3 linked regions of the Sus scrofa genome follow. The main gene of each other region encodes a partner of the protein of the gene in region 3 in a complex. Links are inferred from orthologs where the notes say so. Each region holds a gene or a part of one and is shown on either strand. Other genes may lie near its edges.

The links.
Region 1: CHD5 (region 3) and MTA2 share a complex: the UniProt entries of both Homo sapiens proteins name them as parts of the nucleosome remodeling and deacetylase (NuRD) repressor complex. The link is inferred for Sus scrofa from reciprocal best matches to the Homo sapiens genes CHD5 and MTA2.
Region 2: CHD5 (region 3) and MTA1 share a complex: the UniProt entries of both Homo sapiens proteins name them as parts of the nucleosome remodeling and deacetylase (NuRD) repressor complex. The link is inferred for Sus scrofa from reciprocal best matches to the Homo sapiens genes CHD5 and MTA1.

What each region holds. Positions count from the first base shown.
Region 1 is NC_010444.4:9,143,288-9,147,932, reverse strand, and holds the end of MTA2 (metastasis-associated protein MTA2), read right to left. Parts: intron 4,480-4,645; coding exon 4,382-4,479; intron 4,262-4,381; coding exon 4,122-4,261; intron 3,862-4,121; coding exon 3,633-3,861; intron 3,463-3,632; coding exon 3,373-3,462; intron 2,394-3,372; coding exon 2,275-2,393; intron 2,170-2,274; coding exon 2,027-2,169; intron 1,806-2,026; coding exon 1,640-1,805; 3' UTR 967-1,639; downstream 1-966. UniProt on the Homo sapiens protein: May function as a transcriptional coregulator. Acts as a component of the histone deacetylase NuRD complex which participates in the remodeling of chromatin.
Region 2 is NW_018084979.1:3,477,187-3,482,006, reverse strand, and holds part of MTA1 (metastasis-associated protein MTA1), read right to left. Parts: intron 3,169-4,820; coding exon 3,075-3,168; intron 1,910-3,074; coding exon of another isoform or gene 1,837-1,909; intron 599-1,836; coding exon 548-598; intron 78-547; coding exon 1-77. UniProt on the Homo sapiens protein: Transcriptional coregulator which can act as both a transcriptional corepressor and coactivator. Acts as a component of the histone deacetylase NuRD complex which participates in the remodeling of chromatin.
Region 3 is NC_010448.4:67,048,188-67,053,007, forward strand, and holds part of CHD5 (chromodomain-helicase-DNA-binding protein 5), read right to left. Parts: intron 4,593-4,820; coding exon 4,455-4,592; intron 4,372-4,454; coding exon 4,250-4,371; intron 2,906-4,249; coding exon 2,732-2,905; intron 2,087-2,731; coding exon 1,945-2,086; intron 812-1,944; coding exon 680-811; intron 1-679. UniProt on the Homo sapiens protein: ATP-dependent chromatin-remodeling factor that binds DNA through histones and regulates gene transcription. May specifically recognize and bind trimethylated 'Lys-27' (H3K27me3) and non-methylated 'Lys-4' of histone H3.

The DNA.
Region 1 (4,645 bases), on a different chromosome or scaffold from region 3:
CTTCAAGGCATGCGGCAGAAACTACTACGGTGGCAACTGAGTAAAGACATTGGAGGGTGCTGGCCTCCTCCAGACTGTTACAGTGGTCAATTCCTCCCAAACTCCGGAGGTGCTGCTCAGGCCAGGGAGAGTAAGGGAGCTGGGGACACCCTTGGGACAGGGACGAGATGGAGGGGCCTCTCAACTGGGCTAGGCAACTCTTGCTGTTGTTGACCAACCCACAACTTTGGACTGTGTAAAGAGGACCTAAGGTAAACATCTCCAGGTCTTTAGCCTTGAGCAAGTCACAAATGCTGAGGTTGTTTCTCATCTCTAAAGAAAGTGCTCAAGGAGCACACAATAGATTTAATTTGTTGTTCTCTCTCCTGAGGTGCTCCTCCTGTCGGGACTAGCTCAGGCGTCTCATCTGTCTCCCAAACCTAAAAAGGGAGGAAATGGCACTAGAGTGGACCCCAATATCAAAGCAGTTGCTGGCCTTGGAGATCTTGCAACAGCAGTCTGTGCGAATACACCAGCATTAGGTGGTATGACCCTACATCACCCCCCGAGGTGGACTACATCTTGCTCCAACCTCGCAACTCCCAGAATTCCCCAAGTAAAAGGGAGAGAGGAGTTTAAAAGTTGGGAAATAAAGAAGCACCTTCACACACTCACACTCCTATGGAAGCCACCAGTCATTCTGAGAACCAGCTCATCTCAACGGGTTTGAGTGAATCTCAGCCAAGATGATACTCTGGCTCCAGTACCACAGAGAGCTGGGGAGCAGTGTGGGTCCCACAGGAAAGCAAGATGGAACAGGCCACCTGTCCCAGGCTGTGTATCTCATAAAGCTCTACCCCAGGCAAGCCCCCATCTATACCTCCTCTATTGTCCTTTGTCCTTTATTTTCCCAAAGATACCACACACACACACACACACACACACACACACACACACACACACAGCAGAGAATAGCTGAGCCAGGAGGAGCTGAAGAAAACAGCTTTTTATTTGTTACTATAAGAACCAATTACAGAATCCGAGGTTAAAAAAACGGACAAAAGATCTTTATTTCTGAGAATTGGCGTACAAAAGGCAGAGGGGGCAAGGAGAGGGAAGGAAAGAGCGAGCATAGGCTGGGGTTGATACCAGCTTAGGGGCCTCAAACTCCGATTGGGAAAGTCCGGACACCGGACAGGAAGAGGAACCCCCAGTTAGAAAAAAGGAGAAAAAAAAGATAGACATGGCAGTAATGGCAGTGCACGCCCCCCTCCCCCAACCAGATACCACCTGATATCTGCTTACTCTTCCCCTCTCCCATCCCCTTTCACAAAGGGAGGCAAAATTTTTAAAAAATTAAAAAACCCTCCCCCCAAAAACTATCCAAGACAACTGTGGGCCCTACCCCCAAAACAGGCTAGGTTCCCACAATGGGCCAAGTTCCTGCAGTTTGCCCTCCATCACCAGGCATGGAGAAGCACCGGAAGGGGACAAGCCTCCAAGTAGTAACACCAGAGGGCGCCCATCCCCTCCAAGGACACACTCACTTGCTCCCTCCCTCCCGCACTCCTCATTCCCTTTGACACTAGAGGGAAGGGAGGCTAGGTGCCCGGTGCACCCACCCTCTAGCTTTCAGCCCTCCTCCCTGCCCCACAGATGCTCAGTCTTCCAGGACAATGGGCTCATTGGTGCTGGCAGGATGTGCGGATGGAGGAAGAGAGACTGGAGCCCGCACTGTAATCAGCGGTGGCTTCACCTTCAGAGGCAAGTTGGGCCGGCGGGCAGCTCGCCGCATCTCCAGGTGGGTCAGAGCCTTCCGCAGGGCTCTGGTCAGGAAGGAAAGGGGGACAAGGGAGAAGGCAAAGACCTTCAGGCTGAAACCCCACATTCCACACTGCAATCCCCCATCTCCAGCCCCTTCCTTCCTAGCACGGCCACCCTGCAGCCAGGGTCTCCCTGGAGTTGGTCTTGCTCAGATACTCCTATTTCCCACACCCACCAGGCTGGGTGGTCAACCTCTCAGCCCCTCCCATGCTGGGCTCCCCACCTGGTGTCTTTTGTGGCCACAAACACCACAGGATTGGGGGCGTCAGCTGGGTTTAGTTTCTGACGCTTGGTTGCTGGCTGTGAGCTTGAGCGAATCCCTGAAGCCAGAGGCCTTCCATTGGCAGAGAAGGGGACTCCTGCCATCTGGAAAAGGGTAGGGCAGCGTAATGAGAAGGGGGACTCTCAGACGCCCATCAGAAATAAACACCCATCTAACTCAACGTGACCCACTCCAGTCTGTCAACTCACAGTCTCATAGGCCCGTTTCACCATAATGCTCCCCAGCCCCCGATTCTGGGTCAGCTGGTTCCTATTGATTGGTGTCTTGGTACCCCGAGGTGTTTTTGGTTTCAGAGGTGCCTGGGCCACTGTCAGGGAAAAACAAATAGATAAATAAAGGAAACCTGAGAGAACTTTCACACTCCCTCTTTTCTATGCATCTTCCCTGGGCATTCCTAAAAGGAGTGATGGGGGAGGGGGCTGGCAAGCGATTACCAGCATTTCAAAAGTCAAACATGAGTGTGATCTTATCAATCAGTGCACAGTTTACTGAATAGCTTATGATAAAAACTTTTTTTTTTTTGGATGCACCCATGGCATTTAGAAATTCTCAATACAGGGAGTTCCCGTCGTGGCGCAGTGGTTAACGAATCCGACTAGGAACCATGAGGTTGCGGGTTCGGTCCCTGCCCTTGCTCAGTGGGTTAACGATCCAGCGTTGCCGTGGGCTGTGGTGTAGGTCGCAGACGCGGCTCGGATCCCGCGTTGCTGTGGCTCTGGTGTAGGCCGGTGGCTACAGCTCCGATTCAACCCCTAGCCTGGGAACCTCCATATGCCGTGGGAGTGGCCCAAGAAATAGCAACAACAACAACAACAACAAAAAAAAAAAAAAAAAAAAAAAAAAAGAAATTCTCAATACAGGTATCAAACCCAAGCCAAAGCAGTGACCAGAGCCACAGCAGTGACAATGCCAGTGACCCGCCAGGAAACTCCATGAAAAAAAAAAAAAAAAACACTTCAGGAGTTCTCATTGTGGCTCAGCAGTAAAGAGCCCGACTAACATCCATGAGGACATAGGTTCGATCCCTGGCCTTGCTCAGTAGGTTAAGGATCCGGCGTTGCCGTGAGCTGTGGTGTGGGTCGCAGACGCAGCTCGGATCCCGCGTTGCTGTGGCTGCGGCATCGGCCGGCAGCTATAGCTCTGATTAGACCCCTAGTCTGGGAACCTCCATATGCCGTAGGGGAAGAGATAGGTCTTGATAATAAAAGGACTGAAAGGCAGCCACCACCCTAAGAGCCTCCCCATCCTATACCACCTGTACCGCAGTCCAGTTCCCCATCCCTTACCCAAATCTTTCACAATAGTTGCCAGGGGAAGTCGCACCAGAGGGTGAATCTTCAGTGGAGTCTTGGCGGCCTTAGGAAGTCGAATGGAGCCTGGAGAACAAAGACAAAAGCTTTTGAAGGGACTTCACTATTCAGGCCTCTTCTGGGGCCAGGAACTGTGTCCAAGTTCCCAACAAATCCTTATGGGCCACTATTCCTACTGTCAGTAAATATCCAGAGGAACGCCCTCCGGCCAGAACAAACCCTGAAGCTGCCCTTACACTCTGCCTTGATGGCATTGGCATTGATAGGGGCATAGGGTCGTCGGGCAGCCCTCCTCGGCTGTAACAGGTCCCTGCACATGCGTCTGGCAAGACGGGTCAGCTTCGTGGTCTGGAGCAGGAATGTTTGCCTGTTCTTGGCCAGCAGCTTGGCCCGGTTGGCGCTAGTCGTATAGGGAGAGAGACTTTGGGCTTCAGGTCTGGACAAATGACCTCTCGAGTGTGGCTCCTGGAAGAAGGACATAGAAAAAGGAGAAAACACAGACTGACACCCAGGCTCCCTTCTATTCTCTGCAGAGGGCCTTTTATTCCTGCCGGATCACTTTGCGGTTGTGCCAACCTACCTGGCTCCCCAACCACTAGCAAGTACCATCCACCCCCACCCCAACCAAAGCATCACCTTACTGGAGCTGGGCGTTCTGGCCTTTGCCCAAAGCTCACATTGATAAGCTTATGGTTTTCTCCCACCTGTCCCCCATCCGTCCTTACTGTGGTGCCCCGAGCAGCCCCCTCAAGCTGGGTTGGGGTCTTCAGTCCCCCGTATTTCTTCCAGTAGATCCAACAGGAAGCACAGAGGCGGCACTGCATGTTGGGTGGGCCCCAGGCATACCACTGGGCAGACTGTGTGGCTGCAGGAGCATGGAGAGGAGGGAATGGCCAGGGGTAAGTGCCACTTGAGCCACTCAGGTTCCCGGGTCAGAGAAAACGGCCCACTCACCCCAGCATCCCTATTCCCGCCTAGAACTCACTGTGGCAACTCTCACAAGTCAGGCCCTTCTGGAATCCAGCCCCATTCATGCCAGGTTTTGAGCCCACAGAGATGATCTGGTTAGGATTTGGTTTGGTGCTAATGGGGGCAACAAGGAGAGAGAAACCAGAAACTGGTCAAGGAAAAGATTCCATTTCCACTTTGTCTCTATAGTAATTTGACCCCGTCTCCTGCCCACCCCTAATCACTCAGGCGCAGGTCAGGGGAAGAGAAGGGAAACATGCCAGCCCCTCTTACCCATCAC
Region 2 (4,820 bases), on a different chromosome or scaffold from region 3:
CCGATGCCTCAGCTGGTGCTTGAGCTTCTCGGGCAGGTCTACCATTTCCGGGTTCTCCACCTCCTCCTCTACCTCTCCTGAAGGACAGAGACACACACTCGGGCCACTGGACAAAGGCCCGCCCGCCGGCTTCACGGACACCACCCCCTGCTGGACCCAGGGGGATGGCAGGGGAGGTCCCCGCAGGGCCCCGGCAGACATGCTGGTGCCAGTGCGCCCGTTGCAGCCCAGCCACCCCACGGGGCCCAAAGCCCTGGAGCCCCGGGCATCTGAGCAGGAAGGAGCACTGCGCTTCCGCTGGCCCGGGAAGCAGCGGGCAGGAGGAGGAGAACAAGAGAGCCGGTGCTACACGTCCAGAAGGGCAGAGACCCCACGGCCTGGGCCCAAGGCCCACCGCACACCTTGCCTGGAGCCTCCCGGCCCCTCGGAGCCAAGCTGCAGAGCGCAGGCCCCTCCTCGGGCCGCCTCATGGCAGGGAACGCAGGGACGGGCATGCAGGCGGCCGGCGCACAGACGCCAGGACCCTCTGGCTGAGGGTGGCTCTTACCTTCCTCGCCGTTGTCGGCCCCCGGTCCGGTTTTATAGCAGACTGACAGGGCTATACAACAGACAGACAGCGTCCAGACGGCGGGTTAGCTGCCCACTCCCTGCCCGGCCTGGACCGAGGGCTGCAAAGCTGGGAGGCAGGGTGGACAAGGGGGCCGCAGACCACCCAGCCGAAACCAGAGAACACCTGGGCCTCTGGACAGCCCAGCCAGCCAGGCTTGGCCCCCCGCCCACCCCAACGCCCTGCTGCCTGAGACTCTGTGAGCCTGGGTGGCACCCCCTCCCTCCCTGCACATAGAACACACCTGCCCCTCAGAGCTGGGGCAGCCAGACACGCCTCAGAGCACGGACTGGGCGGGGGTGCGTCTCAGCCACCGAGGCAGGTCACCCACGCAAACTCACTGCCTGCGGCCTCAGCCACAGGGAGAGCCTGGCCACGGGAGCTGGGTGCCCTCGAGGCACAGTGGAGTCTGCGGCCGTGCAGGAGTTGAGGGGAAGCCAGACACAGCTGAACCCCATCCTCTGCCCCAAAGCCCAAAGGTGGGGGCATGGCAAGCCCTCCCCAGCCAGTCCCCAGCCCTGGGGCCCTGGGCCACCAGCCGGGCCGCAGCCCTCTGCTGCCCCCCGGAGGCGGCTTCGGGGAGTCCTCGTGCCAGTGGGCAGGGGAGCCGCACCCCCCACCCGGTGCCTGCAGCTCAGACTGGGACCAGGCCAGACACCCGAGCCCCGACATGGCTGCCACCCCCCACCCGGATCCCAGTGCATCCCCACGGAGGACACGCCCAGTGTCCGACGCCGGCCCAGCAGCCCCGCACCCTAACATGCTCGCAGCCAGCCTGGGCTGGCTCCTCTGCCGGGGGCCTGCCAGCCCAGGGCCCCTGGACACCCGCTTTAGGCCTGCAGACCCTGCCCTGTCCCACCCTGACACAGGCTCACAGTGGCTCCGAGGCCCCAGCCCACCAGGGCTCCCTGCCGTCAGCAGGTCCCAGGGCCGTGCGTACAGCCTCAGGGTGGCCAGAGCTGGGGCCAGGACAGCGTCCAGCTCCCTGACCAGGACAGCCCCGAGCCCCGTCCCCAGCAGACCTGTGAGCACGCATGGGCCGCGGCACTCGGCCTCTAAGAACCCAGGGGCAGGTGGTCCCTGGCACAAAAGCCCCTCCCTCTGGAATCTGGCGTGCCCTGGCCCTGGGCTCAGAGCTGGGGGCCCACCCCCAAGGCGCAGGCAGACTCTGCTCCCACCCGCCCAGCAGGGCTGACACCCTGCTGACTCTCCCAGGCCCTGCAGCTCACCCCAGGGGGTCCGGGGGGCTGCAATCTGTGCCGCTGCTCCCTCGGGCAAGGTCTCACTCTCAGGACAACAGCTCTGTGTGCGTGGCGGGGAGACACACTTCGAGCAGGGGCCGTGGGGAGCACACTGGCCTGGACACCCTAGTAAGGGCTTCTCCAGGGCAACTGCTCTGGGGCTGGACACCCTGGCAGGGGAAGGACGGGGGCTGCGGGCCCAGACGAGACTGGAGCAGCCGCTCTGACCTCGCAGGGGGCATCCCCCCACCCCAGCAGACGCTGGCAGGGGGCTGATGAGCTCGCGGTTCCTGCAGAAATCACTGCGGGACAGGGCGGCCCGAACGGACACGGCTCCGAGAACACAGGGCCTATGCTGGGCCGGGCAAGCCGGCCACCTCCCCAGAGCGGCACGTGCCACGTGCACGACACATGTCCCCACCGCGTGGCCTTCGGTCCCTGGCGAGGGACGTCACATGCGCACGGGAGCCCCACCAGCGCCTGGGGGCCTCTGCCGCCAACTCAGCGCTTCTGGAGAAGCTGCTGCTCCTGCGGTCTCCCCGGCCACGCTCCCCCCAGAGCCCTGCTGGCTCCTGGCTGAGCTCCGGCGCCTGAGAGCACAGAGCTGGCCCCAGACACAGGGAAGGAGGCCCATGGTCATCCTCACCCCAAGTCGCCAGCAGGTCCGTGGCCCTGCAGTCCCGCCCCAGGGCCACCGCCAGGGTTCTGACAGCAAGAACATGAGCCAACACGGGTCACCTGCAGGGCGGGGCCCGCGCCCACACGGACCGCGCCTCTGGGATGCGCAGCACTGTACCCCAAGGGACCTGGCTCTTTGCCTCGGCACCAGAGGCCACCAAGCGGCCACTGGGTCCCACCTCTAAGGTGGCCGCTCTGGGCACAGCATCATGGTCCACCAGTGGACACAGAGTCACGCGTACCACGGGGACGCCGCTGATGCAGCGGGCCGCACAAGCGCACACAGGCCAAAACCCCAAGGTGGGAGGCCTCACGGGGAACCCATCCTCCCGGGGGGCCAGACGGGGTCAGCAGAGAAGTGACTGCTCCCTGGACCGGACGCACACACCCCGTGGACCCCGCCGTGGCGCAGGGCAGCACCAGCCAAGGATTTGAGAAGGCCCCCAAATCCATCTTGAAGCGAGAAACTTCTCAGGGGACTGATGCCAGCAGTGCCCCCAAGCGCGCACAGCCGGTGACTTCCGGGGGACGGGCGGGCCGGCACTCACTGGCATGCTTGTCGGCCAGGGCGACGAGGGAGCTGGAGATGTCCCGCCTCCGGTAGAAGCACACCACCTTGGCCTCCACGTTCCCGCTGGCCGTCTGCAAGAGCAAGGCAGGGTCTGAGCGCCGCCCGCCCCCGGGCTCCGCTCCAGCAGGGCCGCTGCGGCAGGGCCTCGCGGGTGGGGGAGGCACACGGGACCTAAGCCCGCCCTGCGCCCACCTCCGTCCGGTGCCCCCTGTGGACACCAGGGGAACCCCGGGCCACCAGAAAGGACGCCTGTGACGAGGCTTTGGCCAGAGCCGGCTCTGCCCTGGCCCAGGGGCCGCCCTGCAACCTGGATCCACAACCCCGATGGCAGGCAGCCTGGCACAGGACAGGGCAGATGTCCAGACACTGGAGGGGTTGCCCGGAGTGTGAGAAGGATGGAGACCGAGAGGCAGCAGGGCCACTGAGCAAGCCTGCGGGGAAGACCCCCCGCGGGGAAGACCCTCCGGGGCAAGCACGTCTGCTCTCCTTTGCCCTTAGCTTATCGCAGGGGCTCTTTTCGGTTTACTGCGTGAAGGAGTCCCACAGGTCCAAGTGGAACGCAGACCCCAACGGGTGTGCCTTCTACAGGCTATGGGGTCCTAAACGCCTGGCAAGGGGCAGAAGGGAAACTCTCTTCGCTGCCAGGAAACCCTCACCCGAGCGTCAGTGAGCCGGAAGCACGGAACCCCCAGGAACCCCCAGCGGGTCGTCCCGGCCAGCCCAGCCCCTCGGGGCCCAGCACGCATCCCTGGCTGGTCACCCTGTACTGAATGACCTCTCCAAACTCTGGAGGCTCATCACAGAACCTCTGGGGGCGAATTTCCCCTCGGATGCCTCCCCTAGTCCCCTGCCTCGTGACAGTCAGCGACCCCAGGGAAGAGAAGGCTCCCCTGCCGTTTCTTCTCTGCTAAGTCAACCCTCGGGGCGGCAGGAAGCGGGTCATCAGCAAAGGCTGGAAGAGCAGAGGGCAGACGGATGCAGGCGCTGACTCCTCTCTGGGGGCAGGAAGGCGGGCGAGGGGGGCGCTGGCCAGTGGCCCAGTGACTGGGGCCAATTGCATCTTTTTTTTTTGTTTTTTTTAAGGGCTGCACATGGAGGTTCCCAGGGTAGGGGTCGACATGGAGCTGCAGCTGCCGGCCTGCACCATAGCCACAGCCACGCCAGAGCCGAGTCATGTCTGCCACCTACACCACAGCTCATGGCAACACCGGATCCTTAACCCACTGAGCAAGGCCAGGGATCGACCCTGCACCTTCATGGATGCTAGTCAGATTCGTTAACTGCTGAGCCACAGCGGGAACTCCCAATTGTGTCTCTTTTAAACTAACCAGTGTTACGAAGTTTTTAATAATGATGCAAAGGTTATATCACCACTCTTATCTTCGTAGAAGCTAGTACAGCAGCATTTACAACACTAGACAAAATGACCTCTAAGGGAAGTATTTAAGTTTCAGTCACTAAATTCCCTTAAGCCGGAAACCTTTCAAGAAGCCGTAGGAATTTTTCGCATCCTGGAGCATAAATTCAAAGCGTTGTCCACTCTCTCGGGCTTCTTGCCTCCACCACGGCGACTGCAGGGGGCGCCGGCCATAGGCGTCCTCACCCCGGACCACCGAGTTGCTTAAAGAGAGTGAACGACTTTTCCAGAACTGCAACCAACCAAATTTTATTCTCCAATCGACCAGCGAAACTCGTGGCTGCAAGACCACCTGAAGACAGGTCT
Region 3 (4,820 bases):
GCCCCACCATCCAGCAGCATTTTTTGCACCAAGCCCCCAGGACCATCACCAACCTTCATCACAGAGATGGCCTTGGGATTAGATAACTGTCAATACCTCCATCTTCCACATTAGACTATGAGGGTCTCGAGAACAAGAGCTGGACCCTCATGCCTAGCACAGAGCCTGATGTATGACAGATGCGAAAGGATGAAGGAACAACCAGTGCGCAGACGAACAAGGCTCTGAGACTGGACAGCTCTGCCTCTGACTGCCCCAAAAGCAATGCTGCAAGTGCAACTTCAGGATCCAGCTGGGGACCCTCTCAGCTACGCCCCCTGCGGGGCTCCTCCTGAACCAACCTCCAGGAGACGCTGGGCTACAGAAGCGAGGGGCAAGGGGCGAAGGGCGAGGGCCTATCATCCCAGCCAGGACAGGAAGCTCCAGGAGGAGCAGGCCAGAAGCAGCAGGTGATGGGCAGGCCTCTGGTGCTCATCACCCACATACCTTAAGCATCTTGAACTTGAACCAGACAGCAGGTCCCCTTGGCCGCGTAAGGCTAGGGCCCAGAGGAGTGACTTTTGACACTCAATCCACATGAGGATGGCATTGGGCCCTGAGGGCTGCTGGCAGGTTGTGCCCTCAGCTGGCAGGGGGCTGGATGGCCTTGCAGGGGTGAGGTGGGGCAGGGGCGGCTCACCTGGGAGAAGATGAGCACACGGTGCCCTTCGTCCCGCAGCTTCTTGAGCATCTTCTGCAGCAGCATCAGCTTCCCTGAAGACTTGACCAGCGAGCTGCCATCATAGGAGCCGTTGGGCAGGACGGGGGCCTCCTGCGGACACGGCAGGAGGTGGGGCTTTTGGGGCTCCCCTCTCCTCTCTGGCTCTGCACCAAAGAGGCCCCAGGGGCTGGACAAGCGCCCAGCAACAGGCTGAGCACCAAGCCCAAGCCTCTCCCAGCCCCAGGTTCCCAGGAGGGCTCAGACTTGCCAGCCCTGCCCTCCATCGCCCCCTGCTGGCACCCCACCAAGACCACCGACATCAGTGACAGATAGATGACAGTCTGGAGCCAAGTGGCCTTCCCAGCAGGAATCTGGCCTGGCCTCTGCAGTCACTGTAGGGCACAGCCGGGCAAAGCCAACCTGGACCCCAGCTGGGCAGAACCTCAGCCCAAAGGCTGCTGCCCGGCCAGGGTCACGAGAGTGGCCTGGAGTTGCCCAAGTGTGGACCACCTGCAGCACGGCCTCCACACCTACCTCTGCACATTGATCTGTTTTTTGGGGGGCAGGGGGAGGCCTGGGGGTGGTGGAGGGAGGTACAGAAAATGAAGGGTTGAAGTTAGAACCAGAACAGCAGTGACTGCGCCCTCTCCTTAAAGCGCCTTATATGAACTTCCTCGCCTGGTCCTCAGCCCTTGCAGGTGGATGCCGTTAGGGTCCCCGTTTTACAGACAAAAAACCTGGGGCTCTGAGAGGACCAGTGATTGTCCTGATACCACAGGGCTGGAGCTGAGGGTCTGGTCTCTCACCCAGGGCTGCACGTCAGCGTCACCCGGGGGCCCCACCCAACCCCTCCCGACTCCCTTGGCAACTGAGTTCGGCCACGTCAGCCCTTGGAATCCCTGACACTGAGGCTGGAGGGGACCCGGTGACCCAAAGCCCCCATTACTTTGTAGGCACAAGGAGGCGCCGAGGGAAGGAGAGGGCCTGCCTGAGCAGAAACTTCTGGCACCGTGGGGAGCCACATCACTTCCAAGTCCTCATATTTGGGGAGGATTGGGGGCTGAAGGCCTGAGCACCAGCCACAGCAGCCAGGAGCACCATGGCAGCCAATGCCACCTGCAGGAAGGGCCCAGAAAAGCCACCACAGCAGCCACAAGCCCCTCCACGGTCTCAGGCCCCTGCCATGGGGGACTCGGCCAAGGGCAGCCATCACGGTGGCCACGGCAGCAGCCACGGGGACCTACCACAGCGGCCACGGGGAAGAGGTAGGGGTGGTTGCAACACTTCTTCAGGTCCATCATGATGTTGAGCAGCGACACCTGGTTCCCGCCCCCCTTGGAGTTCAGCGCCTCGAAGTTTCGCGTGAGGATGAACTTGTAGTACTTCCTGTGGCAGAGGAAGGAGAGCCGGGCTGGACACCTGGCCGCACCTGCCTCCACGAGGGCGCTCTGCTCCATGGGGAGGCAGGGGCTGGTGGCCGAGCGCCCAGCTCCAGACAGACGCGGGGAGCCCCGAGAGGTGAAGCTGCGGGCCTGGCCCAGCGAGGTACTGTGGGACCACGCGAGGACTGGGGTGGCCCCAAGCCTGGTCCCTGGACCTTGACCAGAGGTCCCCAAGAAGGAAGCAGAAGTGAAAGGTGGAGTTCCCGTCGTGGCGCAGTGGTTAATGAATCCGACTAGGAACCATGAGATGGCGGGTTCGGTCCCTGCCCTTGCTCAGTGGGTTAAGGATCCGGCGTTGCCATGAGCTGTGGTGTAGGTCACAGACACGGCTCGGATCCTGCATTGCTGTGGCTGTGGTGTAGGCCGGCAGTTGCAGCTCCGATTCGACCCCTAGCCTGGGAACCTCCATATGCCGCAGGAGTGGCCCAAGAAATAGCAAAAAGACGAAAAAAAAAAAAGTGAAAGGTGACATGAGGTCTCTGTGGGTCCCAAAGGCCCTCCCACCCACCCTGGGCAGCGGCCCAGGAAGGCCAGGTCAGGCCCCTCCAGGAGGGGAGACAGCCGGGGGACCCCGGGGCAGGCTGCTCACTTCTGCATCTGGCTCAGCTCCACGCGGACGATCAGCTCCGTCTTGGCCGGCATGTTCTTGAACACGTCAGCCTTGAGCCGCCTCAGCATGTGCGGGCCCAGCAGGTCATGCAGCTTCTTGATCTGGTCTTCCTTGGAGATGTCGGCAAACTCCTCCAGGAAGCCCTCCAGGTTGCTGCCAGAAAGAGCTGGGATGAGAGCCCGGGAACCGGCCAACGCCCTCTGTAGAGGGAGCCAGGTCCCTACCACCTGCCAGAGGGTCACAGGAGCAGCCAACTGGCTGGTGGGCCAAGAAGCCCTGGCCCTGCCCCAGGTGTTCTTTCAGTCTCAGCCTGTGTCACCCCCACATATCACAGCTGTCTCAGGATACCTGCCCGGCCTCAGAGCTGTCCTGGACATGTGTCTGTGGGACTCCTGCCCAGATCACAGATAAAGAAACTGAGGCTCATGGGAGCCCAAGTTCCTCAGTGCAACCTGCCCTCTAACCTACATCTCCTGAGGCCAAAATCAGCACTCTCCACCCTGAATCCCGCCCCCCTTTCTTTTTCTGTCTTCCTTTCTTGCTTGCTTGCTTTCTTCCGTGTCTTTTAGGGCTGCACCCGCGGCATATGGAGGTTCCCAGGCTAGGGGTCCAATCAGAGCTACAGCTGCCGGCCTATGTCACAGCCACAGCAATGCAGGATCTGAGCCGCATCTGCAATCTACACCACAGCTCACAGCAACACCAGATCTTTAATCCACTGAGCGAGGCCAGGGATCAAACCTGCATCTTCATGGATACTAGTCAGGTTCATTACCACTAAGCAACAGAGGGAACTCCCATCTTTTTCTCCTTTTTAGGGCCGCATCTGCAGCAGCATATGGAAGTTCAAGGCGAGGTGTCGAATCAGAACTGCAGCTGCTGGCCTACACCGCAGCCACAGCAACGCCCGATCTGAGCCGCATCTGTGACCTACACGGCAGCTCGCAGCAATGCCAGATCCTTAACCCATGGAGTGAAGCCAGGGTTGGAACCCACGTCGTCACAGACACTGCATCGGGGTCTTAACCCGCTGTGCCACAATGCTCACTCCCTGAATCCCCTCTCTGAGCAGGAAAATGGGGGGAGGAAAGGACAGGCAGCCGGGGGCTCTGACTTCACCCCCAGCCCCACCACCTCCACCCCAGCTTCAGCCTCCATCACCGTCGCCCATGTGGTAACTTAGGCCACTGTGGGGGGAAAGGAAGGAGCCAGGGATGTGGGGGCAGGGAAGGAACCCAGGAGGACCCTAGGGTCTTCTGGGGACAGAGCCGAGGAGAAATCACAGCGTTAGCAGCAGGCGACAATTCCCAGGCATGAGGCACCAGCCAATGTGAAGCCCCCTCCCGTCTAGATCATTTGAGGTGGGCGCTGCTGCCGTCTCATTTTACAGACGAGGAGACTGAGGCCCGGCGAGCAGCCCCAGAGCCAGGACGGGCACTGACCCCCCTTCCCTGGCTGCCCCCCGCCTCGTCTCCCCAGCCGGCCCCCCAGGCTCACTTGAACCTCTCCGGCGTCAGGAAGTTGAGAAGATGGAACAGCTCCTCCAGGTTGTTCTGAAGGGGGGTCCCCGTCAGCAGCAGCTTGTAATCGATCTTGTAGCTGTTCAGGACCCTAAAGAACTTGGGGGTGACAGAGAGACGTGAGGGGGCTGGGCGGCCGGCCGCCCCAGCGGCTCCGGGGGCCAGCGGTCAGCGCCTCCTACCTTGGACTGGTTGTTCTTGAGCCGGTGGGCCTCATCCACCACGAGGCAGGCCCACTCGATGGAGCCCAGGATGGCCTGGTCAATGGTGATGAGCTCGTAGGAGGTGAGCAGGACGTGGAACTTGATCTGCACTTCTTTCTGGAAGGAAGGGGGGGCATGGGGGAGGACCGCTGGGAGGGCAGCCGATCGAGGTCTCCAGAGACAACGGGGCGAGGAGCAGGGGGCACAGGACCCCCCACCGGGAAGGACAGAGGGCGAGACATGGGCCATCAGGCACAGGGGTCAGCTGAGGCCCAGAGCACCGACCTCGAGCTGGGGGGAAGGGGTCAGAGGGGCTGAGCGGAGTCTGGAGGCGGCACGGGGCTT